Rattus norvegicus: one gene and its partners. The protein of the gene in region 7 binds, or shares a complex with, the protein of the main gene of each other region. Links are inferred from orthologs where the notes say so. Each region holds a gene or a part of one and is shown on either strand. Other genes may lie near its edges. The genes, in order: Cetn3, Nup153, Nup107, Nup214, Nup205, Nup98 and Nup85.

Region 1 (4,025 bases), on a different chromosome or scaffold from region 7:
GGTAGGTGACACTACATTTTGATTCTGTGTGAGAGACATTGTTATCTGGCGTCATGTTTGTGGACGCTGCTTCTCTGCCACCATGTGGTAGTTTAGACTGCGAGCTTAGGACTCCCGAAAGCCTAAAATGTTTCCTATCAGACCTTTTATAGGAAATGTTTATTAAGTCTTTACCCAGGGAATTTAAGTTTTTGCAAAGGGGATTTTTTTTTTAAACTTAAATCTTTAGGGATTGAAGATTTCCAAGAAGATTGTAGGAGTAGCTGAGATGCAGTCCAGACTTAGACGGTGACAAAGCAGAGTGGCACTAGGTGTTCAGCACCGGGAGAGGCTTCAGCTCATGCAGTCCCTTCTATGAGGGATCATCAGTGCACTGCAAAGGCAGCCTCAGTCAGACTGATCATTATACCTAGTGAAGTAAGATGGGACTTCAGTCAGCGGAGTTTAAGGAACGGGAGACTGTGTTTTACAATGGTAGCTGATGAGAAGATTGAAGATGAGCTGAAGGGGATTTTGGAGGCAGAAAGTTCCAGACTTTATGGTCAAGGTTGTTGGTGTGAAAGAAAGACGCTCCATTTGAGAGTAAGGCAAGATAGTGCCTTCAGAACTGTAGTGTGCAATACTTGGATAATTAAGGGACATTTATGGTGTTGAGGGCGATGCCACTGTTTGAGAGTCAATGATGTAGGTACCTTTCCTTCAGTGGAGGTCTAAGAGGCTATGAATCCCATATGCTGCTATAGAAAGACTTGAAAGTCCAACATTTTTGAGTTTGAAATAAGTATTATATGTTTGGATAGAAACTTTCTAACATCTTTTTTTGAATATTTATTTATGTATTTTTTTTAATGTAGAAGTGCTCTGTTTACATGTATACCCACATGCCAGAAGAGAGTCAGATCCCTTTATATAGATCTCTTTTTAGATGATTATGAGCCACCGCGTGGTTGCTAAGAATTGAACTCAAGACCTCTGGAAGAGCAGCCAGTGTTCTTAACCACTGAGTCATCTCACCACCCTTAACATTATCTTTCATGATTTTGATTTTTTTTAGAATTTGATATTTCCTTACGTGATTTTTATAAGGTCTAATATTTTTGACAGTGTAGTTAAATTGTGTACCTTTGTAATTGGTTTTAGTGTGCTTTATGTCATTACAATGTAAAAATCAAAACAACAGAAAGCAGTTGCATGGACAGAAATCTGGAACTTTGTGAACCAGGAAATGACTTAGCTATGTGTGTATTAATTGCTTTAAAGTCTCCTATTAGACTATAGGTGTGGACCACCATGCCTGGTTTATTTCCATTGAAAAAAAGATGTCTTACAAAGAAGTCGTACTTGTCAGAGAGAAATGGAAGGCGATGGTGTAGAGGAGAGTCACCATAAAATACGTCATGTAGGGTGATGCTTCTGCTGCTCAGAGTTATGGCAGTTAGAAGTCCTAAGAAAAGTGCATAGTGTCAGAGACTATCGATAGGCGACTTTACTGACAAATGTGTCTGAAAGACTGATAGAGTGTGTCAGTGGGATAGTGTGTGGGCATGTTGGCCTCCTACGTGTTGTGGCTTTAAGTGCATTAGTGTTTTAGCCATCTGCCTTCCTGGTTTACCTGTCATGTATGTTACTTAATCGATGAAGAAAATTTCCTAACAGTTTTTTTCCTTGTCCTGTTTTCTTGTTGGGACTGAATTCAAACTAAGTTGAGTGTGTGCCATAGAGTTAAGTGTGGTGTTTTATTTTGGTGTTATGGCTGTAGGTATGCCAATTCCTGTTACTGAATATTTATGAGCTTTGATTTGCATACTTATAGTAATAGACTTCAATTAGTTTTTTGGAAACTTTCTTTGGATAAATTAATGGCGAAAGATAATTTTGGATACATGTGTATTTGACGTAGCGTTAGCTTGACTAGGTGCTTTCTCAGCCAAGTGGGATGAAGGAGCGGGAGACAGGCAGCAACTGGTACGGGACTTTGTTTTTTCACTTGAGATTCAATAAATATCCTAGCACTTTCCATCTACAGGCAGTTGAAATTTTCAGATGAATTTGTAGATCCCAATAAAACCAAGTCACTTTTAATGATAGGATGATAAATGCCTTTTCTTGTAGTAGCAGAATAACATATGGCATTACTTCATAAATGTTTACTTAGATATTTTGAGAATTCTGTCAAGCAGCATAAAATTTTATACTATAGACATTAGGCATTAGTTTTTATTATGACTTGGTTAAAGGCCTATGCTATTAAAATATATAAACTTAGTCTATTGATATGTGCCCTTATTTTTTATATATTAAAATTTAGTTACTGACATCTTTAATGACTCATATCTATTTAACTTGTTTTATTTTGCTGAAATATGATTTAGACCTGCTTCCAGAGGGGATTTAACCCCTATTCACTGATGCTGAAACCAGTGCTGATAACATTTGCATTTACTAACATGTCTTATGCCTGTATTGGCACTGACTTCTGTTAATTTCACAGGCTTAGTTGGATACAATAGAGGAAGAATTAGGGTCTTAAACTAAGCTAAGAGCTTTCACATGGCCAGGGCAAATTGTTCACTTAAACTTAGTGACCTGAGAGAGGTGGTATAGTGTTTTTGTGGACTTAATTATTTTATGTGGTATATTTACATATATACCATATATATGAGTGTTTCGCTCGTGTGAGTTTGCACTTGAAGGGCCTAGGTTAGAAGAGGGTATTTTGGGCCCCTGGGACTGGAGTTATAGACTGTCGTGGTTTGCCAAGTGCTTGGTGGGAATTGAACTTAGATCCTCTGTAAGAACAAGTGTTCCTAACTGCTGAGCCATCTCTCATCCTCAGTTTAATTCTTAACAATAGTAGTAAATATAGTGTATATATGTTGTCCCATTTTTGGCCTTTGTACAGTATAATTTAACTTACATTTATAATACGGACATTAAATGGTTAACATGTAAAATGTGGACTTAGAATTCAGGTTTATTTCTGAGTTTTAGTGATCTACCATGACGTTTAATTATTAGACTGAGTGTTGACAGACTCCTGGGTGTTGCTCTCAATGAATAGCTGATTTTTACATGAATGTCCTCTTTTAACTCTAGTGACAGACTGGATACTAGAAAGAGATCCACACGAGGAGATCCTGAAAGCATTTAAACTATTTGATGATGATGATTCAGGAAAGATAAGCTTGAGGAACTTGCGCCGTGTTGCCCGAGAGCTGGGTGAGAATATGAGCGATGAGGAGCTCCGGGCCATGATCGAGGAGTTTGATAAGGACGGCGATGGGGAGAGTAAGTTCACCTTACTTTTCTGAAGTCTTGAGTTTTGGGACGCCAGTGAGTTCTCCCCATCCCACTCTTTCTTTCCCTTTTAGTTTTAAAGATGAAACTCATGATACCTTAAAGGTTATTTCGAGTTTGACCTTGTACTTCAGATCCTTTCATCCCAGCGTCCTGAATGGTGCGAGCCCGGCTGGATGCCACGCTGTAAGCTTCATTTATACTGAAGCAGATCCTGTATAAGCTGTAATGTGAAATAGCACGCGTACTTCTCTGAAGAGGAAATTGCGCAATTTACGAAAAGTTTAGATTTCGGTGCTTTCTCCCTTAACCTGTTTACACTTCTGAACTATAACTAAATTCGTAGATTTTTCTTTCAACCACTTTTCATTTGTTTTTGTTTGTTTGTTTTTTTCTCTGCTGCTCGGTTTTAGGTCATGAGTTCTATTTAAAATGTCACAGTGTTCTTTCCTTGGCTGCCCTGTGTATGTCCTACCTGTCCTGCAAATACACGCTGGTGTCTCACAGCCTTCCCCGTGTCCTGTGGCTTAGGAGCCTCCACCTCTGTTTGCAGTCTGTCGATTCTATTCTTTTCCTAAATGTGGGTTCTAGCGCTGTCGTTTCCATGCTCAGATGGGAGAGCGGATCCTCACTACCCGCAGAGTAAAGTCCACACATAGTGCCGAGCTTGCTTTATTCCTGCTGCGTCAGCTGTTGTGTATAGAACATCTCCATCCTGAGGACACTGG
Region 2 (4,556 bases), on a different chromosome or scaffold from region 7:
CTAAAAGGTACTATAAGTTCAAAGGTACTGTAAGTTTTATTAATTTGATTTCAATAGTGATTTGAATTGTACACTTTGGGGGTGGGCTGGTGCAAAAGTTCATGGAGATTGCTTTCGGTAGCTGATTTCTGGTTGGTACTGAGCGCTTTCGGTCTGTACAGCTATTGTAAGCAGAACCATGTTTCCGTTGAGGTAAATATTCATTCTGTTTGCAGATGAGGAAAGAGAAGCTTTGAAAGAAGATCAGTAATCTCCCCAAGGCCACACAGCTAGTAAGTGACAGATTTAAACAATCTATTTGATTTTATAGTTATACACTTTAGAACACTGTTCTCTAATAGAACATTAAGTCGACGATTTTTTTCATAAGCGATTCTTTTTAATCATTTATTTATTTCATGGAAAAACTGGCTTATAGTCCTTCCTGGCTTTGAATGCCCAACTCCATATCCACCCTCTTCCTCTTCATCCCCCCCCTCCCCCCCAAAGACAGTTCTCTGTGTAGCCCTGGCTGTCCTGGAACTTGTTTTGTAGGCCGGGCTGGCCTTGAAGTCACAGAGATCAACCTGCATTTGACTCCTGAATGCTGGGATCAAAGGCGTGTGTCACCAGCCAAACCGATACCCTTAATGGTACCTCTTAAAGTTTCTTGGTTTCCATATAGTCCATTGAAATGACTAGGCTGGATCACATGACCACACAGACCTTTTGTCTAATGCCTGCATCTTTGACACCGTTTATTCAGCCTTTGAGGGTACAGTGTTTAATTACCTTCCAAACTATAATACTAACTGAAGCAAATATGTTTACTAGGAATGTATGAGTCATCCTTAATGTGTGTTGATTGCATAGGTTATAATTGCAATCATTTACTACGTTTCTTGTATACCAGGAAATCTATTAGTGCTCTACACAGATGACTGACCGCACTAGCTCCCCACAACTTTATAAGGTGGATTTTAAAGCTCCTAGCTGGTAGTCATCCAAGGTCAAGTCTGTAAGTAGTGAAGGAACTCAGACTGCAAACACCGTGCGCGTTGATAACAAAGCTCTTATATGATTAATGAAACAGTAACGAAGTTGTATTTTTTGCTTTTGTTGAGACAGTATCTCACTATGAAGCTGAGGCTAACCTCTAACTAGTGCCAAATGCCAATCAGAAGCCAAATGCCTTTTCTACTTGTTTTAGGCCTAGGGATCACGGCCACTGTTAATTTTAAAAGCGTTTTTTTTTCTCTCATATTGTGACAAATTATCGTTCTTTGATTTTTACTGTTTACTTCCATTCCGCTTATAATTGATGAATGGGAGATTACAGTTTTCACGTCGAGTGCCATTCTGAATCTAAACCGCCAACTGCCGCCAAATGACCGGGGCTTTGTGCCTCTGCGGAGCTCCGCGGGTGTCCTTCCGCCGCAGCCTTCCTTTCCGAGAATCCGCGCTCTTGCCAGAAAAACTATATTTCCCAGAGGCACCAGCGACAGAGAGCGCGGGCTCGGCCAACCCTTCCTTCCTTTGCCCATCCCCCCACATCGTCGCAGCGTGATGACGCAGACGCGTCGGTCGCTGAGGAGTGACGGTGTTCTGGCTCGCGACCGCGGCGGCCGCCTCAACAGCGGTAATAGGCGCAAGAGCGGCGGCGACGACGACTGCAGGGACGACGACGGCGGCGGCGGCGGCGGCGGCGGCGGGGCGGGCGCAGCGCGCACAGGGGAGGGGTTGGCGGGCGGCGCCGGCGGCCTGGACTGCGGCAGCGACGGCCAGGGCCGCTGAAGAGGAGCCTCCAGCAGCGGGCGGTCGAGCTAGGCCTCAGCGGTGCCCGGAGCTGCTCGCGCCGGCCTCGGCGGGAGATCTCCATAGAGACGGTGACAAACACAAACGCGGGGGTCCGCACGCGGCCGGCGGTCCTCAGCCAGCTCACGGCCTTCAGCCGCCGCCACTGCCTTCCTCGCCGCGCGAACTCTCATTTCCCGCTCGCTCCCTCGCGGTTCTCGCTGTGTCTGTGTGTCGCCTAGGGCCGGGCGGGGGAGGCCCTCAGGCCGCCGCCTCTGCCTCTCCCGCCCGGGAGCGGTAGTGGGAGGTCGCCCAGGCTCCGCCATGGCCTCAGGAGCCGGAGGCATAGGAGGGGGCGGCGGCGGCGGCAAGATCCGGACGCGTCGTTGCCACCAGGGGCCGGTGAAGCCTTACCAGCAGGGGCGACCCCAACACCAGGTACGGGACCAGCACGCCGCCAGGACTGGGCGGCTCCGGGTAGCCGCTCTGGGGGGCGGTGCGAGGCCCCGGCGCCCCACGTGGAGGGGACCAGAGGGCCTGAGACAGGGCCGGGGTGGCGACGGGAAGTGGGTAGAGCCTGGCCAGGCCTGGCGTCGCACACGTGGGGTGCGAGCGGCCTCTCCCAGCCCTCCCGCCCAGGGGCTTTCCCCGGCGGGCGCAGGGCGGGAAAAGAAATTCCAGGCTTCTGATACTCCGGCTTCTTTTTTGGCGGGTTTTGGGGTTTTGATGGTATTACTCACGACCTCGCGAGGGAACAAGGGAAAGATGTGGCAACAGGCCTATCCGCTGGCAGGCTTTTTCTTTCTGATGTTCCCGGGTTTAGGGTGCGTGGGGAGGTTAATCTGCCACCGGGGCCGGGAGAGACTTGGGGAGGGGGCGCTGTTACCCGGATAGTGGATTAATTCCGTTTTAGCCATATTTAATCTTAAATGATAGTGATAGTTCAGTCCCCTCGTCTGCCTGCTTGGCCTTTCCAGATCTGAACACACTGGTTTAGCTTCTCGTCCTTTCCTCTTTTAACTGAGTTATAGTTATGTGGCACTGAGGCGTTTTGAAAGTCCCTCGCCGCTCTTACGTCTGGTCTCTGATGCGCGATTCTTCCCTCTCCTCTCCACCCCGCTCTGTATTCTGAAGACCAGAATCAGCCATTCTCTACAGTTCACCAGAGATCAACTCTTATCTTATACACCAAATATTTTTTAATACTGGGCATTTTCTAGAAGTGTAAGGTATTTTGGACTCTCTAGGAGTGTTGGTAATCTTATAGGTTAAGCCACCGTATGCCTTCTTAGGGTGTTTATAAAAATGTCGATTTCTGTTGTAAATGAGATATTCGGTTCAGAAAAAAATTTGAGTTTTTAGAAATTGTGAGAATTAAAATGTTAAAAATCCACTTTAACAAAGCCACTTTTACAGGGCCTCGTGTACTAAAGTAGGAAGTGTGTATTTTAAGCTTATTGAAGAAGGGCTAGTAAATAACTTGTTGCGTATTCGTAAATGTAGATTTTTCTTGTTTTATCCTGGCTAGTGCTAAAATTGAATACTTAGCGTTTTTGTTTGGTAATGTTAAATTATATCACTTTCGGGATTTTAAAAAGTAAAGATAGGTAAAATTTTGAATAGTAAAAGCTGTGGTTTATATACTGAGAAGTTATTTGTCCTTGGTTGGAAGCCTTGGCATATTACCATTTTCCCTAGATGTGTGCAGAATGCTGAGGCGCCAGGGGTATTATTCCCAAGCAGATTTTTAAGACGAAGATTTCCCAAGCCTGGCCATTTTACTTTACCTGACACTGTACAGTGGACATTAAGACAAACATACTTTTCTCCTAAGAGTAACGAATCACCTGAATGCTTGTTAAAGGAAAATGAAAACAATTTGAGCAGAGAAATGGATGGCTTGGCTAGAGTTTAGAAAGAAGTCAATATTGTGATATTATGATAGAGTTTAGAAGGAAACAAAAGTTATGATCACAACTTATTTTAAAATGTATTTAGATAAAAAAACTAATTTGAGAGAGAAGTTGAGCCAACTAAAGCCCAATGTGTTTTAGAGCTGATCCAGATTTCAGGTTGTATAGTTTTAGGGCTCAGTAGTTAAGCTGTAACTTATGTAATGTTAGCTTCTTGCCTCAGTCATTTAAAAAGTAAATACATCTTTGACCTGGAATTAAAGATAACTTTCTTGATTTGCTGATTTAATATTGGCAGAATCAACCGAAGAAAAGTATTCGGGATTATATTAAAGAATACAGCTCAGTGTTTGTTTCTGTCTTAAAGTAACTAGTCTTACCTGGAACTTAGTGGATGTCATTGTCCTCTACTAGCAGAGCTCGTCAGCTGGTTTTTTCAGCAGCTGCTGAGTCATCTTGGGTATAGTGAGGAGCTTCATGACATGGCATGTTTCATACTGATGTTTGATAAGTGTCCAGATCTCTGAGCAGAATAAAACCTTTGGTTGTGTAGTAGAAGGTTAGAAGAAGTAAGCAGTGGTGCTATTGGTGGATGCAGGGCAGCAAATGTCTGGCCAAAGAGCTACTGCAGTCACACAGTAGTACCTGTGGCTCCTGTCTCATGTTCAGCTGACTTCTGATTTCCTGTTTTGACTTCTGGTTTAGGTCTTCTGGGAAATGTCTAAACTTTAGCATTTTTCTACTTTTAAGTTTTCTTTTAAAAAAAGCTACCTTGTTTGAAGTTGTCGAACTAGAAAGATACTGTCTTGATCAACCAAATAAAAGTAACAGTTGAGTGTAGAGATAGCTGGATATAGAGGTGCATACCTG
Region 3 (4,025 bases), on a different chromosome or scaffold from region 7:
TAGTGCTAAGACAAAGCTCTCGATCTTCTCAAGACATGTTGTAAAACAAAAATATTTTAAAGCTAACATAACAGTCCTCAGATATTGGGGCTGGAGAGGTGGCTCAGCAGTTACGAGCACTGGCTGCTTTTCCACAGACTCCAACTCAGTTCCAGCATCCACACAGCTCACACCCATCTGTAACTCCAGGAGATATAATGCCCTTTTCTGGTCTCCACAAGTAGTAGGCATGCAATGGGTGCACAGACATCCACATAGGCAAAACATCCATCCAAACAGACTGAAAAAATGGTCATGACTAACAGCTTAACAAAACTATATTATAGGAGGAAGACCAAGCAGGAATGGGGGAGGAAGTGGGTGACCTGCAAGTCAAGCAGAGAGGCAGACCTCAAAAGACCTAACCTGGAACGCCTTCATCTTAGATTTCTAGAATCTAAAATTTTGAAATAAAAGTATTTTTTAACTTACATCACTCAACACACACACACACACACATACACACACACACGCACGCATGCACACAATTGTTGGAACAGAGTTCCACTAGGTAACCCTGGCTGTCAGGAAATTACTAGGATGATGAGGCCAATGGCAAACCCACAGCGATCCATCTGCCTTTACCTCCCAAGTGCCGGGTTACAAGCCTGTACCACTATGCCCAGGAAAATCACATTTTGACGATGTGCAGGAACAACTAAGCTACTTAAATCTCAAAGCCGTTTACCAGCCTCTCCAGGGTCATCCTCCCGTAGCATGACAGTACTTAGGTTTATGTCCTCAGTCATACTATGGTGCTCCGTGTTTGTGTAGAACCCTAAACGCTGGGATGAGAATGCAGCTGCCCAGTTGCTGTCATCAAGGTTAGTCACCTGAAAAAAAAAAAAAAAAAAAAAAAAAAAGGAAAGCAATAAAGCCATTGTCATTAAATAGGTAAATTACTGCTGAATAAAGTTTTTTTTCCCGGGGTTGGGGATTTAGCTCAGTGGCAGAGTGCTTGCCTAGCAAGCGCAAGGCCCTGGGTTCGGTACCCAGCTCCGAAAAAAAGAAAAAAGAAAAAAAAAAGGTTTTTTTCCCACCTTATCTGGTTTTCATTTTTAAAATATGTGAGCTACAGTCTTCTTTAACTTTTATGTGTTTGTTTTGCCTGATTGTGTCTATGCACCACATATGTGCAGGGTGCTTACAGAGGCCAAGAGAGAACACTGGACCCCCAAGGGTGCAGTGGTTGCAAGCCACCATGTGGTGCTGGGAATCAAACCAAGATCCTCTAGACAAGAAGTCAGAGCTCTTCACCACCAGCCCTAATATCTGAGAATTATTCTTTCAGCTTTAAAATGTTTTTGTTTTACAACAGGTCTTGTGCAGCCCAAGCATGCCTCCAATGTCCTATGCTGCTGAGAATGACCTGGAACTCCTGATCCTCCTGCCTCTATCTATCCCGAGTGCTGGGATACCAGGCAAATACCACCACTGAGACCCTGGCTTCGAGTCCCCAAAGGAAAAAAAGATGGGTTTAAGCACTAACAAAGCAAGGATAAAAGGCAAAACTATGTCCAGAAGATATCTACTTTAGATAACTTCATATATGCATCGAAATCTCCCTGAGTATTTAATAAACCACAATGTCAAAGACAGAATCATTTTGATTTATAATTCAATATGCCTTAAGAGTTACTAATATGGCACAATGTGTTTCCTTCCTCAATAGGATCCATTTTCCCTAGTTGGTATTCTTTGAGTAATCAGATAAAGCCCCTGTGCACTGTAGCGCATATGATGTTTCCTCTGCTGTTTTCAGTACTATGCCACAGTGGTTCCTAGAGTGTCTCATCCTTTCCTAAAATGTTCTCTTCTGTCTTGAGGGAAAACCCATCATAGAGTCTCCAGTACGTTCATACCACAGACACATCAAATGTGGAGAAGAGGGTTTCCTTACAACAGCAAAGAATCAATTGAGAGCAGACACAGGCGGGGTCCTCCACTCAATCCAGTGGATGCTCTCCTGGTCAGACCCCACAGGCAGGCAGTCCTACTCGTCCTGACAATGTCTGACATCCCCTAGCAGTCACTTTCTGCTCTGCTGTGTGGAGGGTGCAGAGGCCAGGGCGGGTGGCAGGCATCCTGCTCACTTACCTCTTCACTTTGGGTTTGAGGGAAGGGTTCTTACAGAATCTGGGCTCATTCTTCCACCCATCTCTCCCCAGGCCCCAGCTCTAGGGTTACAGTGTTGCCATATCCAGCTTTTACTTTACTGCTGGGATCTGAACTAGGGTCCACATGTTTGTGAGACAAGCAGTTTAATCCTCCCGCCTTCTTTATACTTTAAAACAGCGGCGCGCTGTGGCACCTGCCTTTAACCCCAGCACTCAGGAGGCAACCAGGCCTACAGAGCAAGTTCCAGGACAGCCAGGGCTGCACAGAGAAACCCTGTCTTGAAAAAACAAAAACAAAACAAACCAACCAACCAACAAGCAAAACAAAAACAAGGATTGGCGTTAACAGTCATCCACGGGGGGTTGGGGATTTAGCTCAGTGGTAGAGCGCTTGCCTAGCAAGCGCAAGGCCCTGGGTTCGGTCCCCAGCTCCGAAAAAAAGGAAAAAAAAAAAAAAAAAAAAAAAACCAAACAGTCATCCACGGTTATAGGATGCATTTCATTTGGTCAGTAAACTGCTAGACTCTGGTATCTGACCAGTATCTAGATGTTACTGCTGTCATTTTCCTTTTGTGACATGACATATTCTAACATTTGGTTTTTTTTCAAATGTCTAACCAAAGATATCACTCCACACAACCTGAAATTATTCTCATGATGAATATAACTTTAACTTTCATTGAACGGCTTTCAAGTGCCTTTAAGTGTCAAACTGCATTTATTTATACATACCATGGAAAGATTTCCCAAATACCCAGAAGACTGTATATGCCGGGGAGACCTCCCTTCCGTCCCAAAAATGTAGGATATATCTGGGTGTCTTAGTAAACTTCGGCTTGGTGGAGTAACTGTAAGTGGAAAGAACACTGTCAACATAAAGCAAGTAAGCCAGCAACAAAATATTAAGTTTTCAGAAAGCAGGGCCAATGGCTCACTTGGTAAAGTCCTCACTGCACAGCATGCACCCATGTAGAAAACTCAGGCATGGTGGTGCATGGTTGCAACCACAGTGTTGGGGAGAAGACAGGAGAACCAGAGGTCACTAGGCAGCCAGTCTAGACTAATCAGAAAAGCCCCAGGTCCCAATGGAGGACCCTGTCTGAAAACACTGGATAGCTCCTGAGGAACAATACTCAAGGTTCACCTCTGGACTCACACATGCCTATCTATCTATGTGCATGTATGTTTGCATGAACACATACAACACCCCAGACATGCACACAAGAACATGCATATATACGTATATGCACATCTATATATACATGAACATGAAACACCCACATATACCCACAATTTCTCAGTTTTCAATTATTTAGATTCTAATCAAACAGTTTAAATATTAACATTTTTATATTATGAAGAATTAACTTATTTTTCTAAGATTGAGCTTACCACGCTGACTATTAATTTTTTTTAGCTACAAAGGGCACTTTTAACTTTTTTTTTTTTTTTTTTTTTCGGAGCTGGGGACCGAACCCAGGGCCTTGCGCTTGCTAGGCAAGTGCTCTACCACTGAGCCAAATCCCCAACCCCAAAGGGCACTTTTTATCTAGGTGTAACTGAGTAGACATCAAATGAGCACAGGTGACACAGCTGGCAGATGTTCATCATCTAAATTCAGAGAGCACACTGGGGCGTGCCCGGCAGTGGCCAGAGCTCTGAATCTGGTTTCCACTGTCATCTAAATAACAGACAGCACCAGCTCACTCACGCTGGCTTCTTCAAGTCTGCCTTCCGGTTTGGAAAAGCAGATAACAGTATGTTACAGCCACTATGTGTTGATGTAAAGTACAGTTCCTTGTTCATAAGCGTTTGGATAACTGGAACTGTTATTATTTATGCTTAACTCCTCATACTGTAGCTAAATAT
Region 4 (4,025 bases), on a different chromosome or scaffold from region 7:
TTTGTGGTATTAATGAGCAGTTTAGGAATATTTGTGTTAGAGTGCTTGCCTGGCATGTGTGAGGCCTTGTGTCCAATCCTTAGCACTACAAAATAAATAAAAAGTAATTTATCTTCATTATACTGACTCTGTAAATGGAGAAGATTGACTCTGATCTATCCCTCATTATGTCCTTCCAGTGATGCCACAGTTGTGAGTGGCTCCATCTCCTCCCTTTCATGGATCTCATCCAGTTCACCCATTGGACGCGCATTGTTTCTGTTTTCCTTTAAAGTGAAATGTGGCCTACGCTAGGTACTATTCCTTCACTTCACAATCTCCCGCCATTCAGAAACCATGGTGTCTCAGTAGAAAAATGTCCACTCCCTCCCTCTCCTTCCTTCTCCTTTGTGTCTTTTTCAGATGCGATCTCAAGTATGTGGTCCAGTTCATCTTCAAACTTAGTCCTCCTTCCTCTGCCTCCTAAGCTCTAGGCCACTCCAGCCTGCTGTGGATTGTTTGCATTTGTTTGTTTTTACAAGACAGGGTTTCTCTGTGTAGCCCTGACTGTCCTGGAGCTCGCTCTGTCGACCAGGTTGGCCTTGAACTCAGAGCTCCACCTACCTCTGCCTTCCGAGTGCTGGGATTAAAGGTCTTACAACTGCTCAGCCTTGCCAAGGGGGGGGGGGGTTTCTTAACATCAAGACATGTTAAAATAATAAAAAAAAGGAGGTATTTCTACTCATAGCTGTGCTTTGATACATGGCTTTGTTGGAAATCTTCCATGTGTGGGAAGAAGTCTGTTTAGCAACCTGCATAGGGAAAGAAAGGAGTTAATGAAGTCGATGGGCAGTTTTTATCTTTCAGCTCTCTTTTTTTTTTGGAGCTGGGGATCAAACCCAGGGCCTTGTGCTTGCTAGGCAAGCGTTCTACCACTGAGCTAAATCCCCAACCCCATCTTTCAGCTCTCTTAAAGGTTTAGTTTTTCCAGTTGTCGGCAACAAACAAAACATACGCCTGCTGTTGCACTCTCTCCTCCCCTTATGAGCCCGTTTTATTTTGTTTTGTTTTTTCGAGACAGGTCTCATTGTGTAGACCAGGTAGGCTTGAACTCAGAGGTCTGCCTGCCTCTGGGTCTTTGGGATTAAAGGTGTGCACCACCATGCCCAAAGGGAACACACACACACACACACACACACACACACTCTCTCTCTCTCTCTCTCTCTCTCTCTCTCTCTCTCTCTCTCTCTCATTTTATGGTCCTCAGTGTTTTGTGATCATTTATGTATGTACCTTCGGAAGTTGGAAGACAGCATCAGATCTTCTGGAACTTAGTTAGGAATGGTTGGGAGCCACCATGTGGGTTTGGGGAATTGAACTCAGGTCCTTTGTAAGAGCAGCAAGAACTCTTAACTACTGAGCCTCTTTAGCAGCTGTGAGTATGGGCAACCACGTTTGCTTGTTGTTGTCAAACATTGTTATGTGAAGTTGAGTGCATACTCTTTTGGGAGGTATTAGCCTCTAAAACAATAATGCAGTTTATTAACTTATATTGTTTTGCTTTTTCCTTATTTGCTTGCTTGCTTGCTCATTTGTTTGTTTTAAGACAAGGTCTCTAATCCTGTCTGTCCTGGAACTTGCTATGTAGACTAAGCTGACCTCCAACTTACAGAGCTCTGCCTGCCTCTGTCTCCAGGGTTGGGCTAGAATTAAAGATATGGGTCACCACGTCTGGCCCTGCCTTTTTACTTTTAATAACTTAGTAGACTGAGGTCATCTTTCCAGCTCTGTGCAGGGAGCGACTCTCTCTAGTGGCTCCATAGTAACCTACTATGTAGAAAGGCCCATATGCTCTTGCTGATGGCCACATGCATCGGCACCAGTAGCTGGGGCACTGTGAGTGCGACTGCATCGAGCCATCTCATCAGCTGCGTCTGACGCTGTTGGTGTGAGCATTTCCCTGGGTATGCTGCTCGGAAATGATGGTGTTACCCTCTCTGTTGGGGGGCTAGTGGGGGAGGCGGGAGGATAGAACACCAGCTTCTAGGGGATTTGATTGCATTTGACTGAGTCACTGACTGAAGCATTATAAATCTCTTTCAGACATTGCAGGAAAAAAAGGTCATTCCATGTCCTCCGTTTTATGAGGCAGACCACCCTGTCAGAGGTAACAACTGCTTTGCTCATTCTCTGGCCTCTACTGCAGCCATTCTAGCCATGTGAGATCCTCTGTCCCTACTCAGGAGAGTGTGGGAGCCACACTTAATGTCGTGAGTTATTTAGCTTGAAATGGATCTTCCAGTTTTACAAGAATTCCTTATCGTTTCCCTAACACTAATCCTTCAGAAAACCCACTGCTTTAAGAAATCGGGCCAACTGAAACCCTGTGTCTGTGAATTACTGTTATTCAGAGGATAGACCTTTGGAAAAGCCACAGTACTTCATTTGTTTCTTTTGTCTTTTTCTTTTCCCCAGTTAACTCTTTTAGCACATGGTGGCTATCCCATGCTACTCTTTGCTGCATCTTTCTTGTTGAGATTGGTTACTTAGGAATTAGGGGTGTGTGTCTTTCAGTTCTGGATGTGCTGTGGATTGGTACATACGTCTTCACGATAGTCTATGCTGGTGCGGATGGCGCACTGGAGACCTGTCCAGATGTGGTGATGGCTCTGCTTCCGGTAAGCTTGTGAAAGAGCAGCTCTGTTTCCTGAGACTCACAGCAGTCTTGTAGGAATGCTAACTTAAAACTAAATTCCTGGGGTTGGGGATTTAGCTCAGTGGTAAAGCGCTTGGTAGGCCCTGGGTTCAGTCCCCAACTCTGAAAAAAAAGAAAAGGAAAAAAAAAAACAAAACCAAATTCCTTTCCTTAATACCTGTTATGGTAGACTCAGGTGTAAGGTTTCAATGTCACACCATAGTCCTGGGACCAAAATTCTGGTGTGCATTTATAAAGTATTTATTTGGGGGCTTGATTACAGTTTTACAGGATCAGTCCATGAGCATCGTAGCAGACAGGCCTGGCACTGGAGCAGTAGCTGAGAACTTTACATCCTGAGTGGAGCAACAGACAGCAAAAGAGACACTCACCCAGTGTGGGATTTTGAAATCTTACAACCCCACTACCCAGTGATACACCTCCAGCAAAGCCGTACTTCTTAATCCTTCCCAAACAGTTCCATTAAATGGGGGACCAAGCGTTCAAGCATATGAACCTGTGGGGATCCCTCTCATTCAAACCCCCACAGGCACGATTTGATTATGAAGTAAAAAAAAAAAAGTGGATACTTTTACTTATGCTGTAATTTAGAAGAGCCAGGAAATTTTCTTTTTTCTTTTTTTCGGAGCTGGGGACCGAACCCACGACCTTGCGCTTGCTAGGCAAGTGCTCGACCGCTGAGCTAAATCCCCAACCCTGGAAATATTTTGATTTTTAAAAATTATTTATTTTGGGTTGGGGATTTAGCTCATTGGTAGAGCACTTGCCTAGCAAGCTCAAGGCCCTGGGTTCGGTCCTCAGCTCCGGGAAAAAAAAAAAAGCAAAAATTATTTATTTTATGTGAATGAGTGTTTGCCTGAATGTATGTATGTATGTGTATTTCCTGTGTGCCTGGTGCCCACAGAGGTCAGAAGTTGGCATGAGATCCCCTGAAACTGTTGTGTGATTGTGAGCCACCATGTGCTAGGAACTTAACCCAAGTCCTCGGTAAAGGCAGTCAGTGCTCTAAACTGCTGAGCCGTCTCCAGCCCCTACCTTTTAATGTTCATTTACTTATCAAATAGTTAAGCAATGCAGGTAGTATGTGGAGCACTGTCGTACAGCTGAGCATACAGAGGTGACCAGGTTGAAGTCCTGGCTTTTAAGGATCCCACGTGCTGACAAGTCAGAGAGTGATGGGGCTATGGGGGTGAAGAGAAGAGAGTAGACAGGGCAGGCGATGACTAGGGCAGCCGTGGCAGACAGGGTCAGTGAAGGCTTTCCTGAAGGCAGAGAGCTAAGTGGAGTGCACAAGTGAAGAGCGATGACGTGAGCTCCAAAGTGTTGCCAA
Region 5 (4,025 bases), on a different chromosome or scaffold from region 7:
ATTTTAAAAACTTGGGAAAACACTGAATTTCTATTTTCTTTTTGACATAGTATTTTTGTATGTGGGGAGATGATTTATTTTATCATAAGAGAGCATTTATTTATAATTTAGAATCCCTATATAGAAAAAAACAGTGAGTGCTTCTTTTTTCTAATTTCTGCTGTCTATGAAACTTATTGAAAGTTGTTAACTAAAATTTTTGGTTGTCTTTTCAGTTTTTGTGCATTTAATACTTAACAGTAATACAGATTTCTGCTATGTCAATAATAATGTTGATTAGTCATTATTCTTTTTGAAAATGCTATGTCTTTGACTTTTAGATATCCATGTATGACAGAAGTAAGAATTTATTTCTGCTGTTTTTTGCTGACGTGGTCTAGTTTTGTGTTTTCAGATATGATTCACCACCTTCCCCTGTTGACAGAGAGACAGTACATTGCCACAATTCACTCTCGCCTCCAGGACTCCCAGCCTTGGAAGCTACCTGGGCTGCAGGCCACTGTTAGACTTGCCTGGGCACTGGCACTGAGGGGGATATCCCAGCTACCTGATGTGACAGGTAATGTAAGGAAAGTTTGAGATAACTGGCTATGCCGCTCTCTATACTTGGCAATGTGTGTGTTTTCTTCCTTTAAAATTTTTTAGATAACTTATGTGTGCATGTTTTACCTGTATATATGTCTGTATTCCACATGTGTGTCTGATGTTACCTAAGATCCAAGAATTCCCTGGAGTTAGGAATGGTTTCTAGGTATCATGTGGATGCTGAGAATAGAACCTGGGTTTTTTGGAGGAACAGCCAAGGCTTTTAACCACTGAGCCATCTCTCCAGCCCCAAATGGTTTTTTTTTTTCAAATATCAGATTTTAAATCAGAAAGTGTAAATATGAACATGAGAAAATACGAGTAGTTTGATAAAAAGTTGCAAGCCAGGAACAGTGGCTTGTGTTAGCACTCAGGAGGTAGGTTGATCTGTATAGTTTGGGGCCAACCTAGTCTACATAGAGTTCTAGGACAGCCAGGGTTGCACAGAGACTGTCTCAAAACCACAACAGCAAACCCCTCGTAACGTAAGGTAGTGCTGAGATGTCTCAGAAGAGACCCATAGGTCACCTTCAGTGTAGGAGCAGCAGTGTGGGCCTACAGCAGGCACAGGCAGTCACACCTATTCTGGTTCTTATTTGCGGTGCTAATGACTGATTGACCTTAGAGCGTCTGAATGTGTGCTAGGGCTGGAGGGTTCTGCCACTGAGCCACGGTTCTAGTTCTTTCTTTTTAAACAGGGTATCATGTATCCCAGTCTTGTCCCAAACTATGTAGCTAAGGGTGCCCTTGAGCTTCTTCTTTTTTTTTTAATATTTATTTATTTAATGTATATTACAGGTGGTTGTGAGCCACCATGTGGTTGCTGGGAATTGAACTCAGGACCTCTGGAAGAGCAGTCAGTGCTCTTAATCACTGAGCCATCTCTCCAGCCTGCCCTTGAGCTTCTTATCCTCCTGGCTCTACCTCTGAAGTGCTGGGATTCTTTTTTTTTTTTTTTTTTTTTGTTTTTGTTTTTTTTTTTTTTTTTCCGGAGCTGGGGACTGAACCCAGGGCCTTGCGCTTCCTAGGCAAGCGCTCTACCACTGAGCTAAATCCCCAACCCCGAAGTGCTGGGATTCTTAAATGTGTATTACCACAATCAACTATTACTATTTAAGTTTTAAAAAAATTTTTCATTCTTGATTTTGTTCACAAATTTTTTCACAGTGTATCAAACTGAAGATTTAGTTCTTTAAACTCAGTGTGTTGAGAAGGAGATATTTGGATCAATCAAGCATAGATAATTTGAATATGCTTGGCCCAGGGCGTGGCACTGTTAGGAGGTGTGGCCTTGTAGGAGTAGGTGTGTCCTTGTTGGAGGAAGTAAGTAAGTAAGTGGGGGTGGGCAATGAGACTATTCTCCAAACCATGTGGGAACCAGTCTTAGCTGCCTTCAGAAGAAGAAGTAGAACTCTCAGCTCCTCCGGCATCATGTCTGGATGCTGCCATGCTTTCTGCCTTTGATAATAGACTGAACCTCTGAACCTGTAAGCTCACCCCAACAAAATGTTGACCTTTTAAGAGTTGCCTTAGTCATGGTGTCTCTTCACAGCAATGAACCCTAACTAAGACAGTAGGGGAGTTTACTTAATCCTGTGTTGTACAGGATAACCTATTTTGCTCTCTAGATTGATGAAATTATTGGACTTAGAGTGGTTCATCTTGTCAAATGCAAGCTGTACTTTAATTGTAATTTGAAATACAAAGACTTGTCACTTCTGTAAGATTTGGTGGTGCCATCTGTATGTTGGTTGCTGACTAAGATGCAGTTCAAGGGAAGAAGAGTTTATTTTGGTTCCCTTGGTTTGCGGGGTTTGTCATGGCAGATAGGGCTCAGCAGAAGGAGTGTAAGAAGTGATGGCGTTCATCTGCAGTGAGGAAGCAGGGACACCATGTGGTACTCTCCTAGTTTGCTTTCTTCCTTTTTAAATTTAGCCTAGGCCTCTAGCCTATGATATGAAACTTGCCACATTCAAGGTGAGTCTTTCCTGAGGTAAACCTCTCAAAGGCTCACACCTTTACTCCTAGATTTTTGGGAGACAGAGGCCGGAGGATCTCTGAGTTGAAGACCGACCAACCTAATTTATGAAGTGAGTTCCAGGCTATCCAGGGCTAGACAGTTGAGACCCTGCCTCAAAAAAACAAGCCAAAACAAAACAAGAAAACCTCTCTGGAAATGTCTAGAATTAAAGCCCCTACATTGTTTTTACATGTTATGTTTGCATAAGAGCTCTCTGACTATACCAGTGTAACATTACATTAATTAACAAGTTACTGGAGAGATGGCTCAGCAGTTAAGAGCACTGACTGCTCTTCCCGAGGTCCTGAGTTCAGTTTCCAGCAACCACATGGTGGCTTACAATCATCTGTAATGGGATCTGATGCCCTCTTCTGGTGTGTCTGAAGACAGCTACAGTGCACTCACATAAAAATAAATAAATAAATCTTAAAAAATAAAAAAGTTTCTTATAGGAAGAGCAAGTGTTCTTCCAGTTTTGTGTTTTGTTTTGTTTTTTTTTTTTAATTGTTGTTCTTACTGTTTTGTTTTGTTTAAGACAAAGTTCACTATGTAGTCCTGGCTGGCCTGCAGCTTGCTACGGAGACCAGGCTGGTCTCAGACTCAGAAGTCCGCCACCCTCTGCTTCCTGAGTGCTGGGGCTAAACATACATCACCACACCCAGCAATATTGGTATTTCAAATGTACTCTTTAAGTAGTTCTTTGGAGTTTGTGAATCAATTACAATTATATAAATCTCATTTTGTGTATAGCACTTGTTAGGAGGCTCAAAAAAATATCTGAAATATGATCCACTAGGATATAACCTGAGTTAAAGATTTTTCCTCACTGCTTTTCTGTCTTCTGAAATTTTGTAGCCCTGGCTGAGTTCACGGAAGCAGATGAAGCGATTGCAGAACTCGCCATTGCCGATAATGTCTTCCTGTTCCTCAGCGAGTCTGTCGTGCTGGCTGAAAACTTCTATCAGGAAGAGTTTTATATTCGCAGAATCCATAATCTTATTACAGACTTCCTTGCATTTATGCCAATGAAAGTAAGTATAACAGTATAGGAAGTTTTGAAATAGTTAAAACTGTGTCTTAACTCGCTCTATGTTGGGTAACTAATAAAGTTAGCATAGACTTAAGATTTGACCGATTGTATTACAAATACAGTCTGAATGGGAAGGTGAAATTGACCGATTGTATTACAAATACAGTCTGAAATGGGAAGGTGAAATAATACAAACCTTATTAACTGGAAGGATGTTTTTCAGAAGAAACATTGGACACTGTGAACGCTTTCTAGAAAGCAGTGGGTTAATGAAAATGCCTATGGAGTGCTGCTAATATTCTTGTCTCTTATGTCTGTGTGTTTCATGTCTATTTTATTTCCTTTTATTTTATTGACACATTTATTTTATATATATTTTGTGGGTGCTTT
Region 6 (3,987 bases), on a different chromosome or scaffold from region 7:
TCTCAGCTCAGCATCTAACTGTCCAGTATTCATTTGTGAGTGTCATGTGTGCTCAAGTTCAGGACAATGTGGGAATTATTACTGCCTCCCTCCTCTTTGAGGTAGGTCTGTAGTTCCTGATGACATGCTGCCTTCCCCAGGCGAGATGGCAGGTCAGTTTCCAGGGTGTCGCTTGTCTCCATCCCCTAACAAGAGTTCTGACACAATGGGGCTGGAAGATGGGTTAGTGGCTAAGAACACTGGCTGCTCCTCCAAGAGGACCCAGGTTTGATTCTCGGCACCCTTAAAGTGGCTCGTAACTGTTCCTAATTCCAGTTCTTGAGATCTGATGCCCTCTGGCTTCCACAGGCACTAGGCACATATGTGGTGAACAGATATACATACAAGTAAACCACAACACACGTAAAATAGTAATAAACTCAGACAGACAAAACAAAAACAACCATAATGCTGAGAATTGAGAGTGGGAGTGATAGGTATGACAAATACACTGTATACATGTAAAAAGTCCTTGGAGAGTGCTGCCAGACACATACAGCGCTCTGGGATTACAGGGGTGTGCTAACAGCTTGCCTTTTTATGAAGATTCTGAGAAGTGAACTTGGGGTGTCAGGCTTGTGTGGTTAGTGCTCTGATATGCTGAACTCACTCCTCAGCCCCCTTGTTCTCTTAACTTAGGATCTGTTTCTTTCTTTTTTTTTGGTTCTTTTTTTCGGAGCTGGGGACCGAACCCAGGGCCTTGCGCTTCCTAGGTAAGCGCTCTACCACTGAGCTAAATCCCCAGCCCAGGATCTGTTTCTTAAAGATTCCAGAGTTCCCAAAACACAAAGACAAAACCACCAGGAATACTATAAACATTTCATTTTATTTTTTTTTTAAGAAAGTACTTCAGAAAGAGGAAAATAATCTAGATCATTTATATATATATTTTTTAATAAAAACCTTTACATAATCTTCATGCATAAAGACCCAGGGGTGGCCATATTGTCTGTGACAGCCCCAAATATCCGCTCTTTCAGGCTAGTGCCTGGGACTTCCCATAGCCAGCAGCAATGTGGTGAAGGCCTTCCCTATCTGCCCCTGGGCCCAGCCAGACCTGTCGCAGTGACAGCTTTACCTTCTGAGAAATGTTCTTGGCTAGATGGGAGGGCAGGGAGGAACACCCTTGACATTCTTCATCTAAACTCCTCTGGCAAATCGAGGAAAATGACTGATGATCAAGGGTCAGAGCAGTTCTGGGGCTTCTCAAGAGTTGTTCTCTGTAGCTTGGGGCCACTGCACATGATAGCATGGTGTCCAAAGGATATACAAGGCATGAGTAAAAGCCTTGAAGATCTCCGCCTCCATGGTAGACAGCCCTTCTTTCTTAAATATGTCAAAGAACAAGGTCCAACTCTCTTGATTCCCAAACACACTGTTAACTGAGAAATCTACTTGAGAGACAAATCTGTAGTAAGGGAAGGTCAGTCAGTCATATATCTGGGGTGAGAGTCAGAACTCTGGGTGTGGAAAAGAATTCCCTGGGTTTTGGGAGGTTCTGCCAAAGAGGTTTTATTGACCATTTTTCAAAAGAAAAAAACTGAATGGTCTTGAGGTTGATCAATGGAGACCTGTGTTTTTTGTTGTTGCTGTTCCAGAAGCCCTTATGAGCTATGGTAGGATATGCTCAGTATTATGAAAACCCCTGAATAACTAGAGGATGCTGCGAAGGGCAGCGAAGAGGAGCGGAGGACTCCCAGAGATTGGCAGAGTGTCAATTAAAACAATGTGGGAGACTGTGGTGGCGAGTGCGGATGGGCAGGAGCCAGGCTCATTGGCTCCCAACAGTCAGTTCTCGAAGGTAGGACTGGGTAAGGCCTCGCAGTTCCTCCAAGGCATAGTCCTCAGGCATAGGGAGCCTGCCAATGTGGGGAGCCAAAAGACGCAAAGGGACTCGCTGAGGGTCCGGAGTGGAGTTGGAGGTGGCGTCAGGAGTGTGCTGAAGGCTCAGAACTACCCGCAGTAAGTTGGCTACCCGCTTGGCCATATCTAGAGAGAAATACCAGAGTGAGTACTGAGAACAAGGCACTGGTGTCGGGGTAACGGCCATGAGCAAGCAGAGCCCACATGTTTACCTGACTGAGCCAGGCGATCCTTGGCATTGTAGCACGGAATCTGCTCTATCCGGTTACACAGTGAAGTCACTTTGGTATGTAAGTGCTCTAGTTCATAGCCTGAGCAATCCACCTACAGGAAAACAGAAACCAGTAAGGACAAAACAAACCTCTACCTCACATGCCTCCATCTCAGCACTTCAATGCATGGTCTACGGAATGAGTTTCAAGACAGCCAGGGCTATAAACAGAAACCCTGTCTCAAATAACAAAACCAAAACACTACCACCACCAAAACAAAAAGCCCCATGTATACCTCAATCCCACTCACAGATTACACACAATCCTAAGGACAATGATAGGAGGGGAGAAAACCCAAGAGCTGGTGGCAGTGCCCACGCTACCACCATACCACCTAGTTGCTAAGGCAAGGTACTAACAGTGAACATGAGGGAGTGAACACAGAGCCTTGGGCTGGACAGGTCCTGAGATATGATTCACAAGTCACATAATTTTTACACAACACCAAAAAACATAGGATACATCTGATTCAGACACATAGTATGACACTCAGCAACACACATGTAGTAAGAGGTGACACTTAAACCAGCATTTAATTTACAACTCCTTATTCTAAAGTCACAGCCATTTCTAAAACAGTGCAGGACCTACTCATTTATACACTCTCCTGATCCATCCCTACGGTTCCAACTATAGTCAATGTATTGATTTCTAAGTCCTCAGTTCTAGCCCAACACCAAACTTCCGTTCCTGTGCCACACTCCTTGTTGAAGCTTGGACCACCATTACTTCTCACCTTAAACACCTTAGGAGCTTGGCCACACTACTGTGTTACTCTCTATAATCATGGTGTTGGGTTGTTTTTTGTTTTTTTTTTTAAAGATTTATTTATTATATATAAGTACACCGTATCTGTCTTCGGACACACCAGAAGAGGGCATCATATCTCATTACAGATGGTTGTGAGCCACCATGTGGTTGCTGGGATTTGAACTCAGACCTCTCTGGAAGAGCAGTCAGTGGCTTAACCACTGACCCATCTCTCCAGCCCAATCATTTGTTTTTTTGAGATCCGGTCTTGATATGTAGCCCCAACTGGCCTAGAACTTGTATATTCCAGGCTGGTCCCAAAGTTGCCATTACCCTCTTGTTTCATCATGGCATATTATAGGCATGTAGCACCACACCTTGTCAGAGACATTAAAAACAAACCAGATTTACTTTTCTCCTGTCACCAGGTCAAAGGATGTCTCCTTTCACTATGTGAGTTTTGGAGACTGAACTCAGGTCACCATGCTTGGTTACAAGTGGCTAGAACTCACTTTGAAGAGGGCTTGCAGAATTCACTAATTTATCCCTAAACACAAACTACTCTTACCCTCTGCTATCTTTGCTTGAATTTTACAGACAAGAAAACCTCAAAGAATTGTAAGCTGCGGAAATAAAGAAACCAGATGTCTGTTTCAAAGTAGGGGAAACTTCCTTAAGTAGGCCATTTGTCAGCTGAGACCTTTCTAAAAACACGTCAAGTTTGTAAAAGAAACAGCTAAGCCCTGTAAGGTGCAACACATGCGGTAAAGAGGAAAACAGCGAAACAGAAGGGGAAAGTTAAAGATAATATTTTGTGCATGATGTTTATCAGCATGTATGAGGGCAGAAGAGGGCACTGGATCTCCTGGAACTGGCTAATGTCTATGAGCCACCATGGGGGTACTAAGACTTGAACCTCTGCAAGGGCAGCAAGTGATTTTAACCACTGAGCCATCTCTCCAGCTCCAGACTGGATTTTAAGTGAGGGGTGCGTTTCATTCGGTTATGATTATGAATACCGAGCTACACTCTGAGTGGCATATAATCAACAACCCATGGCAAT
Region 7 (4,547 bases):
GGGCTCCAAGTCATGGCAATTCTCTGGCCTCAGCCTTTCAAATTCTTGAATTTCAAGGAGGTGTCAACATACTCTGCTGACAATTTTTATTTAATCCATCTGACTATTATTTTCTTAAAATAATTGTTGGGAGGTGGTGGTGCACACACCTTTAATCCTACTAGCACTCAGGAGGTTGAAGTAGTCAGCTCTCTGTGTGTCTCGAAAAACTAAAAACAGAATTTATTCATTGAATCCCATTACAGATGGTTGTGAGCCCATGTGGTTGCTGGCAATTGAACTCAGGACCTCTGGAAGAGCAGTCAGTGTTCCTAACCACTGAGCCATCTCTCTACCTCTTTACTTTTTTTTTTAATTAATTGTTTATTTAGCTCTGATCATATGTGGTAGATTTTGTTTAACTGTACAGTAAATTCAGTCTTTTAAAAATTATTGTATGTATACTGGCTGCATGCATATCTGCATGTCTGTGAACTACATGTGCGCCTCACATCCACAGAGGCCAGAAGAGGGCATCAGAATGCCTGGGATTTTTCCATGTGTATGTGAGTGCTTTGAATTGATCCAGTTACCCGGGAAGAACAGCATATGTGCTTAACCACTGAGCCATCAGTCCAGCTCCCCAAATCATTGATTTCAGTGATTAGGACTTGGATAAAAATTTGACAGAAAGATTTTTCTTTATTTCCTTAATGCCTGGTGGGAGTTTGTTTTCTGAGGCTGGGTTTCACTTAGCCTCACATCAAGTGAGCTCAACCTTGCTACATAGCTAAAGCTGGTTCTGAACTCCGAATTTCTGTCTCTACTTCCCAAGTGCTGCAACTGCCGGTTTAAGCCACCGTGCCCTTCTTTCAAGTCATGTATGCCCAACAATTTAAGGTAGAGGAGGTTTAGAATAATCCTAAGGAAAGAAAAGTGGCCAGTACATAAAAGGTTGAAGTCCTGTTGTTTTGGGGTGTCAATGCCCGCGACCAATTCCAAAGTAAGCGCGTTATACTTGTCGGAGTAAGAGAAAGGGACTGAGAATACTTAATAACAGACCCTGAGGGAGGGATCCCAACTACCGCTAAGAGCTAAAATAGGATTACTGAGGCGGAGTAGCTCTGCAATCCCAAGAGATGCGACAGCAAGGATCTGCGCACGCGCACACCCTCCCAGCCACCTCCTCTCCCGCCATCTCCCGGGGCCTTCCTCTTGCCTAGTGTGGGACTGTCCATGGCGCCGCCTGATCTAGTGGGAACATTCCGTGAGGACCGGTGGCCCCTGGCGACGTTTTCCTGAGGTGTTGTCTAGGTTAGAATAGTAGGAGACGTGTGTAAAGCTGCAGAGGCCTGTGTTTGGCTGAGGCGAAGGGATTTGTTGCGTTGAGATGTGCAGGCGCTTCGGAAGCCGCCCTGATGGGGTCCTCTTTGGCAGCTGGCTGTGAGCGGGAGGCCTGAGCTGAGAACAGCAGCAACGCGGAGGGGTCCCTGCTGCGGGCGCACCGCACTATGGAGGAGCTCGACTGCGAGCCCGCAGTAACTGTAAGGACGCCCGGAGAGGCTTGCTTGTCTCACTGTGAGGGTTACGTTTCTTTGGTCACTTCAGGCTTGCCTCCGTACATGTGGGACGCATGCTTTTTCTCTGGACACAGTTGCCACCATCCAGAATGTCAGATCAACTGGGAACTAGGTTAGGGCGGTGGTGGTCCCTAGGCTTCGGGTCCTGTGAATACTGGCCGGGCCGCGGAGGCCCCACTGCATCATCCCTTGTTTCTCTAACCTTTCTGCTTCTCTAGTTTCTCTCCTTGGGCGTTAGAATGAGCTTGGTGTAAGCTCCACATCGTCGCTCCAAGAGCTCAGTTGGCTTCTTCCTCTGGCTCAAAGCTTAATAAGTGCGTAATTTATTCTCACGAGAGACTATAGACCACTTGTTTCTGTCGCTTTGTATTCTATTCCGCTTACATAGAAATATTTTAAGGTGTGTGTATATGTCTGGATATGTGCACAGAACCGTTGGATACCATCTAGGCTGCCTGCCTGAACTATGGTGTCCGCAATCACACTTGGAAGTTGAATGAAAAGAAAGCCCTAACTAGGGCTAACAGTTCCTATGCCTTCTGTTTTACTAGTGGATTCCAGGTGTGAATTCCAAGAAGAAGCAAATGTGTTTTGACTGGGGCCCAGGGGAGATGCTCCTATGTGAAACTTCCTTCAACAAAACAGGTAGGTAGTTCTTGTTCACTTTTGTCTTGGTACATTTGTTGACTATCAGGGGCAGGAAACTGAAGTCATTTGGCAACATTTTTTTATGTTTGAAACTGTTTTTTGTTATTTTGAGACAAGTTACCCCTATATAGTCCTAGTGGGCTTGTCTTTGTGCAACATATGTGGGATTCGGAAACTACGTCTTCCAACCTCGATGTCCAGAGGGCTGGGATTTGAGGTGTGTCACACAACACAAAGTTTTTTTTGTTTTTTTTTTGTTTTTTTTTTTTTAATTCTGTCGTCTGTGCATGGGAGTTTTGTTTGCATGCCTATTGATGCACCACTTCGTGCTTGGTGCCTGCAGAGGCCAAAAGAGATCCCTGGACTCTAGGAACTAGAACTGTATATTTATGTGAGTTGCCATATGCGAGCTTGGAAGAGCTTGGCTGGAAGAGCTGCCTGTGTACGTCTTGTTTGGTCGTCTTTGGTTTCTTGAGATGGTCTGGCTGTCCTGGAACTGGCTCTAGACCACACTGGTTTTGAGCTCAGAAATTATTTGCCCTTTCTTCCTGAGTGTTAGGAATAAAAATATGAAATTTCAGCCAGTGGTCTTAGTCACCAAACCATCTCTTCAGCACCCTTCCTATAATGGACCTTTAGACACGAGCCATATAGCTCAGCTGTGGTGACGCACACTCGCACACCTTTCATCCCAGTACTCCGCAGACAGAAGCAGGTGGATCTGTGAGTTCAAGGCCTGCCTGATCGACAGAATGAATTCTAGATCAGCCAGGGTTACTCAGAGAAACCTTGTCTTGAAAAACCAAAACCAACCAACCAAACAAACAACAAAAAGAAATGAGTCGGACTGTGTTGCCTGCCCCAGCTGAAGGCAAACTCTTGGGTTCAGGCAATGCTTGCAGTCGTAGAATTTTTACTGTGCAGAATAGTTGACGGAGGATAGAGTGTTCCCGGCTGCCTGAGATACGATGCCGAACCCATTCTCAAAAAACCAAGGACGTAGGCTGTCGCTCAGTGATGGCATGGGCAGCATGGGCATGCCCAGGAGGCTTAGGGAGAAGGATTGCTTAGACTAGGACCCCATCTCAGCTCTCCACTTGAAAAACTCTCCTCTTCCTCTTCCTCCTCCTTCTTATTCCTCTTCTTCCTCCTCCCCTTCCTCCTCCTTCTTATTCCTCTTCCTCCTCTTCCTCTTCCTCTTCTTATTTATTTATTTATTTATTTATTTATTTATTTATTATATATAAGTACAGTGTAGCTGTCTTCAGACACACCAGAAGAGGGCATCAGATCCCATTACAGATGGTTGTGAGCCACCATGTGGTTGCTGGGAATTGAACTCAGGATCTCTGGAAGAGCTGTCAGTGCTCTTAACCACTGACTCATCTCTCCAGCACCCCTCTTCTTCTCTTTTATCATAGACCTGGCTTGCTTGGTCTATTGCATGCACTAGTCTTCTCTTTCATTTTAATCCTCCTGTCTCATTCTTCCTCTTGCTGAGTGTGTAGACATGTGCCCCCCATGCTCAGCCAGTTTTTGTGACTAAAAAATTAGAAATACTGCAGTGTTTTCTCTTTGGGGGAAAATGATAGATGTTAAATTAGTTTTTGTTTCCTTTTTCCTGTTTTGTTGCAGACAAATCAGAGAAGGTCCCGAGCTGCCCCTTTATTTATATCATAAGGAAAGATGTCGATGTTTACTCTCAAATTTTGAGAAAACTCTTCAACGAATCCCATGGAATCTTCGTTGGCCTGCAAAGACTTGAGGAAGAACTGTCCGGGAAATCCAGGAAAGCTCAGTGAGTGGTGGGTGCTGGAGCTCTAATGGAGTCGTGGTGAGAGGCACCCTTATCCTCCTGAGTGGCGGAGCGCCTTGGAGAGGATTCCTGGTCTCCAGGGTGCCTTCCCAGGATGTAGTTGTAGGTTGGGGAAATGCTGTTAGAAGACTCGGTGGCTTGGTATATCAACTCTTCGCTGTGGAGTCCTACTTCATTTGTGTGTGTTCCTTGAACACCACCACCCACCAAAGTAAAAAGAATATAAATAACACGACCAAAGAAGCCCTTGATTCGATCTCATTCTTGGAAGAGTTAAAAATGAGGCCGGCAGATGTTCGCTAACGGGCAGCCTGGTCTGCATAGTCAGTTCCAGACCACCCAGAGCTCCATGAGCCAGACTCTGTCTCAAGACAAAAGAAATGTTTATAGGGGTCAGCAGTTGAGGCAAATGGAAATAATTGCCTCTGAGGCTTATGTTTGTGACGAGGAATCAGAATTTGTTTTGCTTCCTTTGAGCGCCCAGCTGCTGAGCCACGTCACTGGGCCTGACCTCCAGGCTAGGA

Evidence for each region.
Region 1: Nup85 (region 7) and Cetn3 share a complex: the UniProt entries of both Homo sapiens proteins name them as parts of the nuclear pore complex. The link is inferred for Rattus norvegicus from reciprocal best matches to the Homo sapiens genes NUP85 and CETN3.
Region 2: Nup85 (region 7) and Nup153 share a complex: the UniProt entries of both Homo sapiens proteins name them as parts of the nuclear pore complex. The link is inferred for Rattus norvegicus from reciprocal best matches to the Homo sapiens genes NUP85 and NUP153.
Region 3: Nup85 (region 7) and Nup107 share a complex: the UniProt entries of both Homo sapiens proteins name them as parts of the nuclear pore complex. The link is inferred for Rattus norvegicus from reciprocal best matches to the Homo sapiens genes NUP85 and NUP107.
Region 4: Nup85 (region 7) and Nup214 share a complex: the UniProt entries of both Homo sapiens proteins name them as parts of the nuclear pore complex. The link is inferred for Rattus norvegicus from reciprocal best matches to the Homo sapiens genes NUP85 and NUP214.
Region 5: the proteins of Nup85 (region 7) and Nup205 are in contact, whole or in part, in a cryo-EM structure (PDB 7TDZ), measured with the Xenopus laevis proteins. The link is inferred for Rattus norvegicus from reciprocal best matches to the Homo sapiens genes NUP85 and NUP205. Residues at the interface, in XP_041431608.1 of Xenopus laevis: Ala86, Glu87, Glu88, Ala89, Ser90, Gly91, Lys92, Ser93, Arg94, Lys95, Pro156, Pro239, Met240, Gly245, Thr246, Gln247, Thr248, Leu249, Thr250, Glu251, Phe252, Glu253, Leu254, Lys255, Trp256, Gln257, His258, Trp259, Pro315; in XP_041443600.1 of Xenopus laevis: Glu1477, Cys1480, Arg1481, Cys1484, Asp1485, Ser1517, Gly1518, Tyr1519, Leu1520, Lys1521, Val1522, Val1524, Asp1525, Ser1574, Gly1575, Gln1582, Gln1638, Gly1641, Gln1642, Gln1645, Val1648, Leu1690, Asp1691, Ile1692, Gly1693, Leu1694, Asn1695, Asp1696, Gly1697, Ser1698.
Region 6: Nup85 (region 7) and Nup98 share a complex: the UniProt entries of both Homo sapiens proteins name them as parts of the nuclear pore complex. The link is inferred for Rattus norvegicus from reciprocal best matches to the Homo sapiens genes NUP85 and NUP98.

What each region holds. Positions count from the first base shown.
Region 1 is NC_086020.1:13,831,222-13,835,246, forward strand, and holds part of Cetn3 (centrin-3), read left to right. Parts: intron 1-3,096; coding exon 3,097-3,288; intron 3,289-4,025. UniProt on the Homo sapiens protein: Plays a fundamental role in microtubule-organizing center structure and function. As a component of the TREX-2 complex, involved in the export of mRNAs to the cytoplasm through the nuclear pores.
Region 2 is NC_086035.1:18,176,893-18,181,448, forward strand, and holds the start of Nup153 (nuclear pore complex protein Nup153), read left to right. Parts: upstream 1-1,563; 5' UTR 1,564-2,097; coding exon 2,098-2,211; intron 2,212-4,556. UniProt on the Homo sapiens protein: Component of the nuclear pore complex (NPC), a complex required for the trafficking across the nuclear envelope. Functions as a scaffolding element in the nuclear phase of the NPC essential for normal nucleocytoplasmic transport of proteins and mRNAs.
Region 3 is NC_086025.1:55,277,477-55,281,501, forward strand, and holds part of Nup107 (nuclear pore complex protein Nup107), read right to left. Parts: intron 3,005-4,025; coding exon 2,889-3,004; intron 873-2,888; coding exon 728-872; intron 1-727. UniProt on the Homo sapiens protein: Plays a role in the nuclear pore complex (NPC) assembly and/or maintenance. Required for the assembly of peripheral proteins into the NPC. May anchor NUP62 to the NPC. Involved in nephrogenesis.
Region 4 is NC_086021.1:35,659,061-35,663,085, forward strand, and holds part of Nup214 (nuclear pore complex protein Nup214), read left to right. Parts: intron 1-2,082; coding exon 2,083-2,146; intron 2,147-2,553; coding exon 2,554-2,657; intron 2,658-4,025. UniProt on the Homo sapiens protein: Part of the nuclear pore complex. Has a critical role in nucleocytoplasmic transport.
Region 5 is NC_086022.1:64,835,141-64,839,165, forward strand, and holds part of Nup205 (nuclear pore complex protein Nup205), read left to right. Parts: intron 1-394; coding exon 395-559; intron 560-3,460; coding exon 3,461-3,636; intron 3,637-4,025. UniProt on the Homo sapiens protein: Plays a role in the nuclear pore complex (NPC) assembly and/or maintenance. May anchor NUP62 and other nucleoporins, but not NUP153 and TPR, to the NPC.
Region 6 is NC_086019.1:165,905,559-165,909,545, forward strand, and holds the end of Nup98 (nuclear pore complex protein Nup98-Nup96 proprotein), read right to left. Parts: intron 2,227-3,987; coding exon 2,115-2,226; intron 2,029-2,114; coding exon 1,811-2,028; 3' UTR 847-1,810; downstream 1-846. UniProt on the Homo sapiens protein: Plays a role in the nuclear pore complex (NPC) assembly and/or maintenance. NUP98 and NUP96 are involved in the bidirectional transport across the NPC. May anchor NUP153 and TPR to the NPC.
Region 7 is NC_086028.1:101,303,968-101,308,514, forward strand, and holds the start of Nup85 (nuclear pore complex protein Nup85), read left to right. Parts: upstream 1-1,467; 5' UTR 1,468-1,490; coding exon 1,491-1,523; intron 1,524-2,110; coding exon 2,111-2,204; intron 2,205-3,842; coding exon 3,843-4,005; intron 4,006-4,547. UniProt on the Homo sapiens protein: Essential component of the nuclear pore complex (NPC) that seems to be required for NPC assembly and maintenance. As part of the NPC Nup107-160 subcomplex plays a role in RNA export and in tethering NUP96/Nup98 and NUP153 to the nucleus.